Linked DNA regions of Rhinolophus ferrumequinum. The protein of the gene in region 2 interacts with the protein of the main gene of each other region in a pairwise test. Links are inferred from orthologs where the notes say so. Each region holds a gene or a part of one and is shown on either strand. Other genes may lie near its edges.

Region 1 (7,842 bases), on a different chromosome or scaffold from region 2:
CTTTCTAAAATCAACAAATAACGAGTGCTTCCTCTGTACAAGTCATTGTGCTAAATGCTGTGTGTGTGTGTGTGTGTGTGTGCACGCGTGCAAGTGTGCATGTGCATGGTTATATAAGTGAAAAAGAGAGACAGGCGTGCATGCGTGCGCACGCACGCGCGCGCGCACACACACACAAGGAAGGATAAGACAGAAGCCAGGTCTTCAAGGCTTGCAATGTAGTTGCTGATGTAAGACTATAAACATCAAAGAAATGACTAATAATATGGAGTAGATAATTGTTAAGTGGCATAACGTGTCTGCAGGAGTTCTCAGAAGAAGCAATCAGATCTACAGGGGAGGGGGTGGCACTGTCAGGCAAGGTGCTTCTAGAAAGATATGAGATTTGAGATGGACCTTGAAGGCTAGAAAGGGTCTTGATAAACGGGGAAATGGCACGAGCAAACACTGGCGGCCTTTATTGTCAGGTAAGAGAAAGAAATCATGCCTTAAAAATAAGGACTGGACCAGATTTGAACGACCTTGAAAGTTAAAGTTTTTGTATAAGTGAGGAGGTACAAAATTTTTTTCTGAACATAGAACGATAGGGCTTGAAGCAGGTTAATTTAACAAACAAAACGTCTTCTGGGGGGACCATGGTGTGCAGGCACTGGATGAATGACTGAAGATGATTTTGCCTTTGATGGGGAACTAACTTCAACCTGGGAGATGAGTTGGACTTGAGGTGACAAGCGTGTGAAGTAGAATGTGAAGGGGCAGGTTTGTACCACCTGCTGAAGGAAACACCAGCAGGTCCCAATGACTAACCGGCTGGGAGGCAGAGCACAGGAGGCAGAGAAAGTCAGCAGAGAGAGGTCTTCAAAGTCCAAAGTTAGGCAGCTGCAAGGATGGAAGAGCATAGGGAAGCTGCCTGAGGGGGGAGAGATGCAGAGCTTGGTTTTTAGAAGTGCTGAATCTGAGGATAACTATATCGCAATGTCCAGTGTGCATTCAACGACACGAGTCTGGAGTCTGAGAAGGAATAGTTGAAGATACAGCTTAAGTGTCTCCCCAATGGACAAAGAGTTGTGGGACTGATTAAAATTTCTCTGGAAGGAAGTGTAATGAGAGAAAAAAAAGGAATGTCAAATTGAACCACTGGTGTGCTCACACCTAGGAGGTGATGGCGGATAGGAGTGAGCTGAGAAAAAAAACCAAGATAGTCTAATAAACACCACGAAGGGAAGGGGGTAGAGTTTCAAGGAGGAGAGGGCTGACAGTGAAAAATGCGACAAAATCAATCATGTGGACTGAGCACATAAATAATAAATATTTGTTGAATAAATGAATGAAATAAGGAAGAAAGGCTTTGGGTTTGAGAATCAACTTTCCTCAGTCAGAATGGCCAGGGTTGCCAAGAGGATTTCAATGTTAAATTTTACCCTGTTCTACAAAAACACATATCTTCTTCCACAAGTCATCCTGTCCACAACACAGACATCCTTCCCTGCTTCACCCATGTTTCCCCTCATCCTCTTTCCCAGTTTCCGCAAATCAACCAACACACCTTCGGTGTCCAAGGAGACAGGAAACTCCAACTAGAGTTTCCACTTCATTAACAACTCTGCCTGTGGCTCCTCTTACATAAAGGGATATGTGGCAATTGAGTGGAAGAGGAGACTATGTTCTAGCCCCAACTGTACTACTAACTAGCTGTAAGAGTTTGGGCAAGTTGCTCAACCTCTCTGGATGTGGGCATTTTCACAGATAGGAGGAGGTAGGTCTATTTGGACTCCAGACAAGTTTAGAAGGTGCCTTTCAACTCTAAAGATCACGATTTTAAAAATTCTCAGAAGGTCCCTGCAACAACCTCAGAGAAGGAAGTGAGCACAAGACCCAGGGAACCGACCGTCAGACCTCTTCCCGGGGCGAAGAGCCAGGATAGGAGTGTACCAAGAAAGTGAGAAGGCGCTGCCTGGCCCTCGCGGATGACCAGTTGAAATCCCATTCCCGTGGCTGGAAAGGACCCCAAGGATCCCAACAAACCCGAGGGCTATTCCCACCCCGCACCCCACCTTGTCTAGACTCCCAGACGGACGCGAGGCTCTAAAAAGCCCTGCGGGAAAAATAAAGATTTCTTTCCCAGAGTCCTGCGGTGCTTTTGCAAGTCGGATTCCGGCAGACACGATCTGCAGCCCGATAATGACACAGACAGTCTTGGGAAAGAGCGACTGTTCTCGCCTCGCTCGCTCCGAGTTCTGGGGACGCCTGGCCGCCAGAGCCATGCCCCGACGGGCCGGCGTCGGACCCCGGCCCGGTTGCCCGGCCAGTGGGGCCCCTGGCCCGGGCCCTCCTTCCCTCCGCCGGCCCCGCTGCGGTTTGCAAACATTTCCTGCCCCCGCCCCCACCCCCACCCCCACCCGGAGCTTCCCAGTTGGAGAGAGTTGGGCTCAAAGCCGGGTCAGCGCTCGCTGTTGCCCCAACTAGACTCCCCTGGCGACAGGGCTGGGGAAGGGGACCCCAGTCTGGCTCGGGGGAAGCCATCGGGGAAACCCGGCGCCAGGAGCCATGGGAAGTCGCCTGGGAAGCCCAAGGCTCGGGCAAGGAGGGGACAACTGGCGGGGCGCCCGTGGCCCTGTACCCTTCCCCGTCGTTACCTGCTCGCTTGCGGGGGTGTCCTGGGGCGGCCGGCCTCTCCCGGCGCTGTCTCCCCACGCAGTTGCCCATGCTGGCTCCTCAGCCGGGCCCCATGCACCGGAGGCGGCGGGCTGGTCCGCTGCTCAGCGCTCCGGCCCCGGACGGCGGCGTCCCTGGTCAACGGCTCTTGCCGCCAGCCATCGGGCGCTGCTGGATCTGCCCCCGGGGGCGCGCTGTGCCCCAAAGCCGGCTTCGCCACAAACTTTGCGGCGAGGGGAGAGAGGGAGGTGGCCGACTCCCTAGTACAGTCCCAGGTGGCCGGGCCAGGGGGGCCCGCGACGGTGCCCGGCCCAAGACCAGCTCCGCTGGAGGGGCGGAGAGAGGGGGCGGTCACCGCCGCGGCTACACCCGGCTAGCTCGCGGCTCCGGGCTGGGGCCGGCCCCCCGGAGTCTGTCACTCACCTGCCTAACCCCGCCCCAGCCCGGCCCAGCTCCTTGCCGTGGGCTCGCAGTGCCCCAGCCGCCGCCGCCGCCGCCACCGCCCGCCCCAGGTGCGCATGTGACCGACGGCACCGCCCCCTCGGGCCGGGTCTGATTTTCTCATTGGCTTCCCCCAGGGTGCGTACCGCCCCTCGACCCCACCCAACTAGGGGCCCGCCCCGCCGCCCGTCTCCCGGGTAGCAGGGCCGGGAATTATTCTCCTTCAATGGCCCCCGGCTGCGTGCCCAGCAGCCACCTCCCCTCCCCGCGCCGCCATGGCCACTCCAGGCCCCGCCCCTTGGGGGAGGACCCATCCCACTTCTCCCTAGAACCGCCTGCCTTGGAGCCGGCAGGCACGTGATCCAGGGAGCGCCCCGCCTTCTGCTTCCGCCAGGCGATTGGCTCAGGAGGCGCATGCGCTGAGAGTTCCGTCCCGTACCACCGCCCACTTCCCCTCCCACGGTCTCTAGTTCGCGTCATGGCCGCCGCCGCCACTCTGGAGGCGGTGGCTCCCACAGGCGCCCTGCGGGGCCTCGTGCACGACTTCGTCATGGGTCAGCAGGAGGGCCCCGCTGACCGAGTGGCTGCAGGTACGGCAGACGGCGCTGCGGGGCTTCCGCATGGGGGCCAACGGGAGGGAGCGGCCTCAGAATAGACGTGGGGCGGGAAGGGAGTGAGGGACAGCGGTGACTTGAGAGATTGGTCTCGGGCAGATTGTGAGTACCGCGTGCATAAGAGGCGTAACAGTTACTTGCATCTTCTTTAATACGCCTTTACGCCCCTCGTCTTGGTTTATAGCCACCCTGTGCGCCGGCACGGGTTAGGAGAGTGATTACCATTTCACAGGTGGGAATCCGGCCTAGCGAGGGCAAGAGGCTCGCAGATCAGGCAGGTGGGGGAGCTGGGACGCGGCCCCAGGTCCTCCAGTTCAGAATCTGGTGATCACGTCGCGAAAGCACTTGATCCTGGGAGGTCAACGGGACAAGAAGCATCTTCAGAGGCATCGGCTCCAGTCGCGTGGCATGTTGGGAGGGGCAGGGCGGCCTGATCTTTGACGGGCTGTAATTGGAGAGAGGAGAGAGGCCAGCCTGAGGGGAGTTTGAGATGTTCTACGTATCCTTAAGACTTTCCCTCCGTTTCTTAATAGTAAAGTTCTTGATTAATTTGCTTCATGACTTATGTGGTGTTTGTTTTTATATTTTCCCCAGATCTCCAGTTTCCTGCATTTGACAGGTTCAGGGATCTCTTAGTTCTGACAGCTTATATAAGATTTGAATGAAACAAATTCCAGGTTTCATTGGAATTCTCTTTTAGAAAAAAAATTAGAAGTTATTGAATAATTAGGAGGCCTTCAGACCTCGTGTTACGTAAGAGAATACAAAATCTCATGAATACAGAAGAGTTTTGCCTATTTTTGAAAATTTTGCGGTCTTGAGAAAAAGTAAAGGACGCATTTCTCTTGAAAATTTAACATATTAATTTTTATTTAGAATATGTGAAATGAATAAAGTAAATCTGCAGGAAGTACAATACTTTGCTCCTTAGCAATTACACTTTTATCCAATTATTTATTCAATAATTCCACCATTATTGAATATATATTATTCTTTAAACAGATGCAAAGCAATAGGAACATAAATACAAATTAGACTAGATATGTATCTGCCACTGTAGTGGGGTGGGAGAGAAAACCATGCAAACAGATAGTACACTACACCATGAATAGGGCTATAAAAGGTATGTGCAAGGTGGCATGAAGCATCAAGGAGCAAATGCCTGATGCTGCCATTCCACTAAGTTTAACTGCTTACAGCTTTATGAAGCTTAGTGTGTTATTAGTGCTTACAATTATAATGAACAAGTACAGTGTGTTTTCAATGGCATTTTTCCTGGTGTTTTATATGAACATTTTAAAACACAGCAAAGTCTAAAGAATTTCATAAGAAACATACATACGAGTACTCCACCACCTAGATTTTGCCATTAACAATTTAATGTAACTTGCTTTATCACATATCTATCCATACGTTTAATTTGCAGATGTCAGTACACTTCCCCCTAAATACTTTGGTAGGTATATTTGTTTACAATTTAGTTTGGTGTAAAATTCATATCCAATGAATTGTACAAATCCTGTGTATAGTCACTGATTTTGAAAAATGTATACACCTACCTCCTACCAAGATAAAGAACATGGCTATATCAGTGTTATTAGTAACTATTCTTTCACATTTATATATCATGAACACAATAATTGCATTTGAAAAATGCAGAACACACTTAAGAAGACGACGTGAATAAGGATGGCCAAGTTCTTATAAATGTCCTTGTAAAATTTGTTTTTATACCTGAAAAAAATGGCCTAAACTGTTGTCTAATTTAAATTTAACTCAGCTAAGACTGTAACACCAGCCCTGTTGTAATTTAACCCTTCAGACTAAGAAAGGAGGTTGGTAGTAACAGATAAGTAACAGGGGTAGCAACATAAGGTTGAAAAGGTTTGGGGGGGGGGTTGCATTATGCATAGCCGTGGATTCCAGGCAAAGGCACTTGAATGATCTATTATAGTTAATAGGAGTCATTGTAGATCCTTGAGCAAAGGAGTCGCATAATGAAAGCAAATTTGAGAAGAATTAAATTGGTATTCCCAATCTTAGATTACAGCCCTAGTTAGGGTTGTTGAAGGCTGACCAGGTTTTGAAGCATTCCTAGAATAAGATGGGATCCTCCATCCTAAGTCAAGCTTTGTTAGTGCTGAAAGGACCACTGTCTATTAAGCCACTACAGTGGTAGCCTCTCCTACAAATTGTAAATGCAGAAGGAACACCCTGTTATCACAGAGGCAGCTACCACCAACTTTGTTTTGTACCTGGGTTCCTGATGAAAGTATCAGATATAAAGGTTCAAATGATGGAAGAGAAATGACCTGGCAGTCAAAAGCTGCCACTACCTAGCTCCAGCCTTTACTCTCATTATTCCCCTCCTGGACCTTTAGTTCCAGGCAGCCACCTTGATTTGCTATTCCCCGAATGGTTTCCTTCCCTAGCTCTGTCTAATCAAAGGTAGATGTAGGATTCAAGACCCAGTTTGAGGGCTCGCTGCCTGCCCTCCAAGTGTTTTTTGATTACTTCAATCAGACATCATCTCACACTTCAGAATCTGTGTGGTATTTATTTCTCAACCACTCATAAACTTATTAGCAGACTTGTTTAGTAGCTATTTCTGTACGTATCTCCACATCCTACTCTGCTATTCCTACCAACAGAGTCTCCTAGAGACTAGCATAAGTAGATGTGCAGTAAAAAACTGAATAAGTGAATGGAAATGAGAAAAGGAAGAATCTGGAATTTGAGGCTTAACTAGTTATAGGGCTTGAAGGAAAGGGAGAACTCTAGGATGACTCCAAGTTTTTGAGCCTGATGGTAAGCAAAAGAGAAGTACTTTGTCCAAAAATGGAGGTTGGGAAAGGAACTAATTTTGAAGTGATTTTTGGACATGTTGAAATTACAGGTGATGGATATAAATTTTCATCTTCTTAGTTATTTGTATTTTCTTTTTTTCAGCCTTTATTATATTGTCCCACATTTGTGATTCCCTGAGGAGACCACTGTTCCTGAATCCAAAAGATTGCTAAAGGACAGTAAAATATAGTTCTGAGAAATGTGTGTAGCACCCTCAGCAGAAAGGACATTTGGAGAGCTTAATTGGAACTGAGTCCTGATTGGGATTTTTCTTCTTCCTGCATCCTCATATCCTCCCCCTTCCCCTTTTGGCTGCTGCTCCAGATTCTCAAGAGGCTGCAACTCCATCAGACAGAGGTCTGATTGTACATTCTATGTCAGGCTCATGTAAATACATCTTTGATGACTCCTCAGTGCCCCACACGAACTGGTGCCCTGCTGTGGAAGTTGTGTGTAGTTAGGAGGTGCTAGTAGGTCCATTTTTAGAGAGCAAATCTTGGACAGCTTGCAAAAGCTTAGGCCTACCTATATAATGAAAGGAACTTTCGTTTATTTTTTCCTTCATGCCAGTGATACTCCCCTTAGGAAAATTAAGTTTTTATTAGCTCTTTCATCCCAGGAGTCCAAGTACGCAATTAACAGTACCTCCAGATATTCAGGTATTTTTCATTTGGGAGTATTTATAGTATTAAGAGAATGACGCACTTAAAGTTGGTGAGAGATGGTCCATAAACCCAGGAATTTTACTCCTTTCTTATGTTAACCCAGTCTGTTTATATCACTATGGTAACACTGAACTTCTTACACTGATTGTGTTAGATGTCTTTCTGCCCCAATAGACTGTGGGCTCCTTAAAAACTTCCTGTCTATATTTCTATCTCCAGCCTCTAACACAGTACCTGATTTATATTAGGTGTTCAGTAAATGTCAAATGAAAACAAATGCGCATGACAATTTTTTAAAAGAATTATGGAGGAAACACAGAAGAGATTAATTCTGTTTTGGGAATCAAGTAAGGTTTCCCAAGAGTTGACATTTGAGCTGAGTCTTGAAGCGTTGAAGTTCCTCAGATTGAGAAGGGCAGAAAAGAGGCATTCCAAACCAAGGGAATGTTTACAAGATTCAGGATATGGACTGAACATGTTGCAATTTCATGTGACTGAATGATAGGAGTCATGAGGAAAGGTGAGCTAGAGGGGGTTGGGAGCCTTGACTGGGAAGGACATCACGCCCCACACAGTGAGGCCTTAGGCAACAAGGAGCAGCTGGAGATGGGTGGGCAGGA
Region 2 (7,721 bases):
AAATTTGGTACAGTGTCCAAGGAAAGAATTTACACTTAATAAATAACTTTGGAAAGCAGGTTCTTTTATGTCATTGCCTCTGGACGAGGCCACACTGGTGGTGGGAGAATCCCAGACAAACACACCCTGATAGCAGTTTGAGAAAGGGAAGTATAAACGATAACTAAATATTAGAAAGGATCTTATAAAAAAACACTTCACTATTAGCTTTTCAGATCTTTAAGAACAGGACAACACACACCCCTCTTTAAATAAAAAGGGCAAACTGGATGACATATAGAGGGCCTTGACATCCCACCATAGCATGAAAGACAATAAATATTAGTATATTTTTCTTCACAGTGACCCCCAGCGTAGCAGAATTTTGACTTGCACGATCTACACTCTGGGCCTGGATGGTCACAGTGTGCTAGCTTTCACGCATCCTGACAGATAGAGAAGTTGATCCTATCTATACGATATAGTGGGGCAAACTGAGGAAGCTGTGTGGTCCAGAGATCACCTTCTGGGGGATACCGCCAGCCCAAGCAGAGTCTGATGGCCCAGATGCCAAGAGGACTCAACCTCTGGGTATGTCTGTAACCCACTCATCATCGACCAGTGCTCTGTGGCCCACCCATTGGGAGGCTTTGTCTTCAAGAATTTTCCTCAGGATGACTGGCTGTCAGGTGAGTTTGCAGCAAACCATTCTTCACATGCTACACTTTGGTGGGGAATCACAACACATATTAGCAGATGAACATATTAAGGCTCCGAGAAGACTGGTGTTTCTTTGTTGTTCTCCCCTTCTCCCCCGCCCTCCCCCCCTACTTTCCAATCTCCTTTAACCAGGACACTCTTTCACCATCTCACAGGTCTAAGCAGCTGCGGAATGGTTAACCCTCCACCGGAGCACACAGCACCAGTGACTCAAAAGGCTTAATGCAACACCACCATGTCCTAAGTATCTTTCATTGCAGATTAGCTCGGACCCTGAAATAACTTTAATCATCAAGAAGAAATCCTCCTGGAATGCTATGAACGCCAAAGTGTTAAATACAATAATCACCATTATTGCCCCCAAATGAGCCGATGAGGAACCGAGGATAAGTGGATTCTGGAGCTGGGACTCCCAGTCATGTACAATAATTCATATGCCCCTGGCAAGGAGAACTCTAAACATGAGATTCAAAAACCCTATGCTTAGCCTCGGCCTTCCCCACCCCAGGAGACTTATCTATCTTTCTGGTTATATAGTCCCTTGGCTGTTGATGTAATTAGTATATAATAACTGTGTACATATCAACTCACAGGAAAAACGGCGGACGTGCTGGTTGATTTGGCTTGAGGCCATCTCATCGGCAGGGTGAGACAACCCGGTAGAAACATCTGTTATTAACCGTATATTTTAAAATAGTGTTTTGTGTCTCCTGGGTTACTGATTCCCACTGAAAGCAACACAATATCAAGACTCCTGTTTTTCTGAGCAGCACCTAGGAGCTAACAAGCTTTAAAACATTTGCAATAGTCTCTGCAGTTCTGCTGCTTGTGCTATGAAGAATTTTATTTCCTAAAACGTCTACTGTATCACACACACTGCTTTTCTAGGTTTCAATCTCATAGAGGTGAGCAGGTTTCATTTAAACTGTGTCACTATGAAGAGTTAAGGTTTTTCAAGTCAAGGGCCCCGAATAAAACTGGCCGTAGCTTTTGTTTTTATGAAGAAGCACTTGCCGTTCCCTCTATTCAATCAGTAGCCTCACTAGGGATTGGACTATGACTTGCAATTTTTTTTTAAAAAAGGGGCCATTCTCTCAAATCTGCTTGTTTGCGCTGAGTACTTTTCTTGAAATTAACTTAAGAAATTAATTTCTTAATAGGAGAAATTCAAAATCGGGTGCTCGTGCCACTGGCTGCAGTCAGTAGCACAATGCTGCTTCCTAAACTTCTAGGACGAAGTCCCTGTGTTGGGCAGAAAATGACAATCTTTCTTTGACACATGAGCAGTCAAATTTTCAAAACATTTATCCAAGCTAACTCAATGAAGAAACCACTTTGGCATGAAAAAATAAAAATGAAAAAAAAATAAAAATGTACCTGATTCCAAATCACTTTTGACAGCTCTGCTATATATATAGAAAGAAATCGACTTTCTTCAAAAGTTTTACCTGTGCCCCAAAACTCAGTTGGGATAGTTTTGCCTTCTTTCTCAATTGTCCCAACTAGAACGAAAATGCCCCTGCAGGTCTGTGAAACCCTTGCACATGTCCATGTTTAATTACATTCAGATTGAGATCTTTGTATACATATAGGATATAGCCAAACTTTAACTCAATCGACCGCAGCGCCTTTGACATACAGCCTTTATTCATCGTTCTCGCCTTATGTATAAATAGACATGCGCGACTTGTCAAAATGCAAGCCCGAGCGTCTTTACATTGTCTAGAACAAAGAGCCCAGCTTGGCTTCTTTCTTTCCTCAGTGTCTCAGAAGTTGTCCTTTATTCCATGTGCAGGATGCAAAGATTTTGCTGCTGCATGAATGAAAAATGATACCTTCAGACTGCCTTTTTCGTGACAAATTGCACTTCTGCAGAATATCACACTGCCTGTGGTTGTAAGAACCCCACTTAGATTTACTATTACTTCCTCGGGGACTCAGCCTTCTCGCAAAGCACCCCAAGGCTCATTTCCAGGGTTTTAGAGTGCAACAAACATGAGAAAGTTTGCTCATCGTGATGGTCTAGAAACTCTTCGCTAGTAAAAACAGCCTCTGGAATGTGTAAAGTGCTAAAATCCTTGCCTCTGTGGACTTTGGGTGTACAAAACAGGCAGGAAAGTTGTCTGGAAGTATCTGCGAAGCATTGTGTTTGCTCAGGAAGGAGCTGTGGGGTGAGAGGCTGAGCTAAGCCTCTCCCTCTGCCTCCTGGGTGTGAGCAGTGAGGCTGCCACTTAGCAGAAGCAAGCAGAAAGAGATCGGTAAGACTCACCGGCTTCCCCATTTTTCCCAGGACGGGGTTTTGTTCCTCAGCTGTGATCTGGATCTGGAAGAGGCAAACCTGTAGGTCCTCCAAGCAGGCTGCCTGGGATCAGCTGGATGGCTGGAGCGTTCAGGAAGCTTGCTCTGTCCAGCTCCGAATCACTCCCCCTCTCAGGCTGTGTGCTTACACGCCTCCCAGTCAGCGCAAAAATCCGCCAAACTCAGGTCAGCCGAACAGGTTTCCTTATATAGGTAAACATGAATTGCATTCCTGGTGAAAGAACTTAACTAGGAATCCTGTAACCTGGTTAACTCTACACAAGCCAGACTGGCTCAGAGTCAGTCAGCCAGTGTAGGGTTTGGTTGCAGTACAAAGGGATTTGTGCGATTTAATTAAAATCATCTTTATCCTGGCAGTCTGTAAAATTGGCCCTTCTAGTGTAACTGTGAGTCAACAGCTAGTATTTTATATCATGAGCTGTGACCAACCTTACATTATCTGGAGGCATTGTAGGGAGAAAAACCAAAGTATAGGATATTATCATTTGTCTTTTATGTTTTTAAAACCAGGGTAACTTATCTTGAAATTATTTTCAAAGAAGTGAATAGAACATGTGACAGGAAGAGAATGTGAACAAACCTCTATCAATAAGGCTCAAATGCTTTATTTGAGCATAGTAAGTAATAGTTATTCAACTTTCCCAGGCCTTTAGTAGATAATGCAATGTGATCATTTTGAGTCTACTCCCTTTATAATGTAGTAATTGCTACTGCATTCTTTGATGGGCAAAATGACACATAATGGCATCTATTTATTCCCTGTAATAACCCTCCTGAGCCCATATAGTGAAGTGTTATTTGATGGTTTCAGGAAAGAAATCTAAGACTGCTGAATTTGCATAATTATATGTAAAAATTTTAAAACAACTTCCTGGACTTACGAAGATAAGAAAACACATTTTAAAAAGAATTCTGGGGAAGGCCTAACTCTAGGTTCAAAACACAGCTTTTAAATGTAAGTATGTAACTTAAATCAATTGTCCAGTAATTGGCTCTTTTCCCTACATTTATCTACCGCTGAGTAAAGTAATAGTTCTTTTTAATTCTAACCAATTCCACGAAAGTCTTACTATAAAGTAGAGACTCAAGACTTTCTAATACCTGAGCGGTGGGGGTGAAGACTGCCTGCTGAACAAAACCCGTCTTAAAGTGAATCCTTTGTCCCCATTTCATCCACTGGTCGACTGCTCCTTGAGTAGTGACAATCTTAGTAAAAATAGCTCAGTGCCATGGTTTAGGTCTCTGCTCGGGAAAGGAGAGACAATGAATGTTTACATACTGCCTAAGCCAGCACGGATACAAACAAATCATAGAGAGTTTCTGTTAAGAGCAGTAAAGTGCACAAATCACACTGTCAGGAAGGGTAATTAATCTTTGAATAGCACTTTACAAATGGGCAAGGATTTTCGCATACAATTTCTCTTTATATCGCCACAGGAGCACGATGCAGTGTGTGTTATTGTTTCCTTTCCATGATAACAAAATTGACTTGCAGAGATAAAGTGATTGGTCCAAAGTCTCATGATCAATTTGTAGAAAAGCCAAGATTAGCAGATCTTCTAGAATTTAACTGCAGTGGAATTTCCAAAACTAGAGTCACCCTGACGAGGCAGCAGTCCATTAACATGGCAGTTTTCCATGTTCAAATATAATTTTTAATAATCATGTATCCAGAGAGTTTAAATGCAATATACAAACTGATTAAAACACTCTTTATAAAGTCATAATTTACTGCTAAAATGACTGCCTTTAAGTAACTCCAGAAAGGTCATAAAATGAGATAGGAAGTATATTTTTATTGAATATGAATTTGGGTTATAAAATATTATGAAAATATAACTTTGCAAATATTGCACACATCTTTCTGTTCACAGTACACACATTTCTATTGTATCAAGTTAAGACTCATCTTGACTCCCCCACTGGAAGGAATATCAGTGTTTTCTACTTATTGGGTTTTCATTAATCTTAAATAAAACTGTGTGCCATGCCAGGTAAATGGCTTTCACTAATATAGTCTATTTATGATCCTGCACCCTTTATGTTCTCATAATTCCCACTGAAGCAAGTTCTGTTTATGCAGGAACTTTAGACTTTATTAACATGTTGATGCAAGACGAAGAATGCATTTTTTTTCCAAGGCAGGCTAAACCTTTAAGTGCCTTAAGCTGGCCTTCAAATTTTTTCTTACAATTTTAAGCAAACAATCATTTAGGTTTTAAACACAAAATATCTTGGGCAATAATTATTGAATTGAAAGGTCAAAATGAAAATTGGATCTCAAAGTAGCATATTTCAAAGAGGGACTACAACCCTCTGCTAAATCCATTTTGGATGCCTCAAGAAATGGTTTGGGAAAGGCTGGGTCACTGAAGCAGTATGAATTCAAACTAACCATAGAGAACCCCAATGAGAGAGTACTTACAGCTGAATAATTACACTATGCCAAAAAATAGGACTTATGGGAAACTAAATAAAATACAAGACCTATTTGAAGGGGAGAAAAATCTCATTGTGGTTTAAAGAAAACATCAGAGGGCAGATTTTAGAAATTCCCAATGACATATAACTAATGAGTAGTTGAGCTATAATTCAAATCTCGGTCCACCAGACTCCAGAATCCTTGCTATTTCTACTGCATCCTGGGTATACTACACTATCCAAGAAAGAGAAAATGCCTTAGGGTCAGAATGTGCTTCCATTTTGGTTCCATCTCATGGTTACGTGACCTTGGGTAAGTTACTTAACATTTCTGAGCCTCACCCCCAAGGTGAAAATCAAATGGCTATACATCTCACAGATTACTGAAAGATTCTGAGATTTTAAAAAAATATCATTCTGTGTATACTTATTGATGCTTTTAATGATGCAGGCACACAACCAGGAGCAAGTTATGCATGTCCTTCCCCCACCCCATAAAGCTAACGACCTTACAGGAAAGACTGTGCACATATTTATGATGGAATGTGAAAATGTAATGTTTCCCCAAATTTCTCACAACACAAGAATGTTTAATTGAAGTTCCACATCAATGTAGAAATATTAATTGACAGATTTCCAAGCTGATACTCTCACTGTAGTTAGCACAGGTTACTCTACTGGCCAGAGGCCGGCTTACCATCATTAGACTTGGTGGACCTGGGCTGAGCCAGATAAATACCAGGAAATGGTAAACAGCGATACATCTGTCATATCATGACAATATCCTTTTATCGAACAATTGAGGAGGACCAGCATGTTCAATGGAAGAGCATCCTGAAGATACTCAGGAAGGTGGATGTTCATGGAGTTATTTTTATTATTAATTCTTTATATGCAAAAGTGATGAAAAACATAAGAATCCTTAAATATTGTAGTCAGTTATCTATCTACTAATCTATTACCAATTCACTTCTATGCAATAAACATTTAATTGGTGGCTATTATGGATAAAGGTCTATGAAGGATACATACAGAAAAAGATACACAGAAAAGAATGGTCCCTAGCTTGAAAAGAGCTTTCTAGAAAAATGTTATGGTGCTCAATAGCTGTATCAGACAGGATGGGTGAAGTAATGCTCTGGTAACAAGCAACCCCCAGATCTCAGTAGCTTATAACAACAAAGGTGTGTTTCTCACTCATGCTACATGTTTACAGAGATCAACGGGGAGGAGTCTCCTATTCATAGCCGCTCAGGAACCCAGGCTGATGAAGGTTCCTTTCGGCGCATACTTCCACCGTCGTCGCTGAGACAGGAAACAGGGACTTGGTGAATCATTACTGCCTTTCAAAACTTCACTCCATAAGAGACACTTAAACTTCCGCTCACCTTTCATTGGCCATAGTGTTCTCTGGCCCCAGCTTAACTTCAAAGAAAGAGAGACTACTAGAATACATGACAAATGAAGACATGACAGATATGGCAAACCATTTGGCAGATTCAGTACCACTTCTGGCATAAGGACTGGCAGTTTAAGTTTGAAAATTACTGACTAGATGCAATTTCTATAAGAGTGGGAGCTTAAAGGTGGACTGAAACATTATTAGTGGTTCCGGCTGAACCTTGAGGGAAACAGTGACATTTTAGAAGGATGTCCTGAGGCAGGCTCTTCATAATATTTCCATCAGTTACTTGAGTGATGATATAAAAGACAAGTTGATTTAATTTGCAGATGGTGCCAAATTGGATAGCTAACACCACAGAGGATTGTATTATAATTCAAAATGACCTTGAAAAGTAGGGGAAAAAATGACGTTAAGAAGGAAGCTTGTGTTCAATAGTGATAAATAGAGAATTGGAATGAAAGGGCTACAAAATACGCTATAGAAAAACTATATTGAGCTAATATTAGTCTGTAAGTTAAATAAATACTGGCAGTTTAGCACTTTTACTTGTAAAGCCTTTGGTATGGTGGTATTAACCATGTAAGCCCTGGAAAATAGACATTCTTAGGGTACTGCTTCATTGGGGATCCACATTAAAAGAAATAAGATATCAGAGCAAATTCAGAAACAAAAGCAGACATTTCCAAAGGACTAAGTACCCTAGGTCAGAAGTCAGCAAACTTTTTCTGCAAAGGGTCAGTAGTAAATATTTTTGACTTTGCCAGCCATAAGCCTCTTCGTTGCAACTACTCTACTCTGCCTGCCGGGGTGATCTAAAACAGTCACAGATAATATGTAAATGAATGGGCATTCATTTACAAAACCAGGAAGCCAACCT

The links. The genes of interacting proteins can lie anywhere in the genome.
Region 1: the proteins of MID1 (region 2) and UBTD1 interact in binary tests that used the Homo sapiens proteins (3 or more experiments, as listed by UniProt). The two-hybrid records come from large-scale screens. The link is inferred for Rhinolophus ferrumequinum from reciprocal best matches to the Homo sapiens genes MID1 and UBTD1.

Annotation. Positions count from the first base shown.
Region 1 is NC_046299.1:26,307,651-26,315,492, forward strand, and holds the start of UBTD1 (ubiquitin domain-containing protein 1), read right to left. Parts: upstream 3,050-7,842; 5' UTR 2,707-3,049; coding exon 2,637-2,706; intron 1-2,636. UniProt on the Homo sapiens protein: May be involved in the regulation of cellular senescence through a positive feedback loop with TP53. Is a TP53 downstream target gene that increases the stability of TP53 protein by promoting the ubiquitination and degradation of MDM2.
Region 2 is NC_046284.1:118,835,061-118,842,781, reverse strand, and holds the start of MID1 (E3 ubiquitin-protein ligase Midline-1), read right to left. Parts: upstream 3,072-7,721; 5' UTR 2,969-3,071; intron 1-2,968. UniProt on the Homo sapiens protein: Has E3 ubiquitin ligase activity towards IGBP1, promoting its monoubiquitination, which results in deprotection of the catalytic subunit of protein phosphatase PP2A, and its subsequent degradation by polyubiquitination.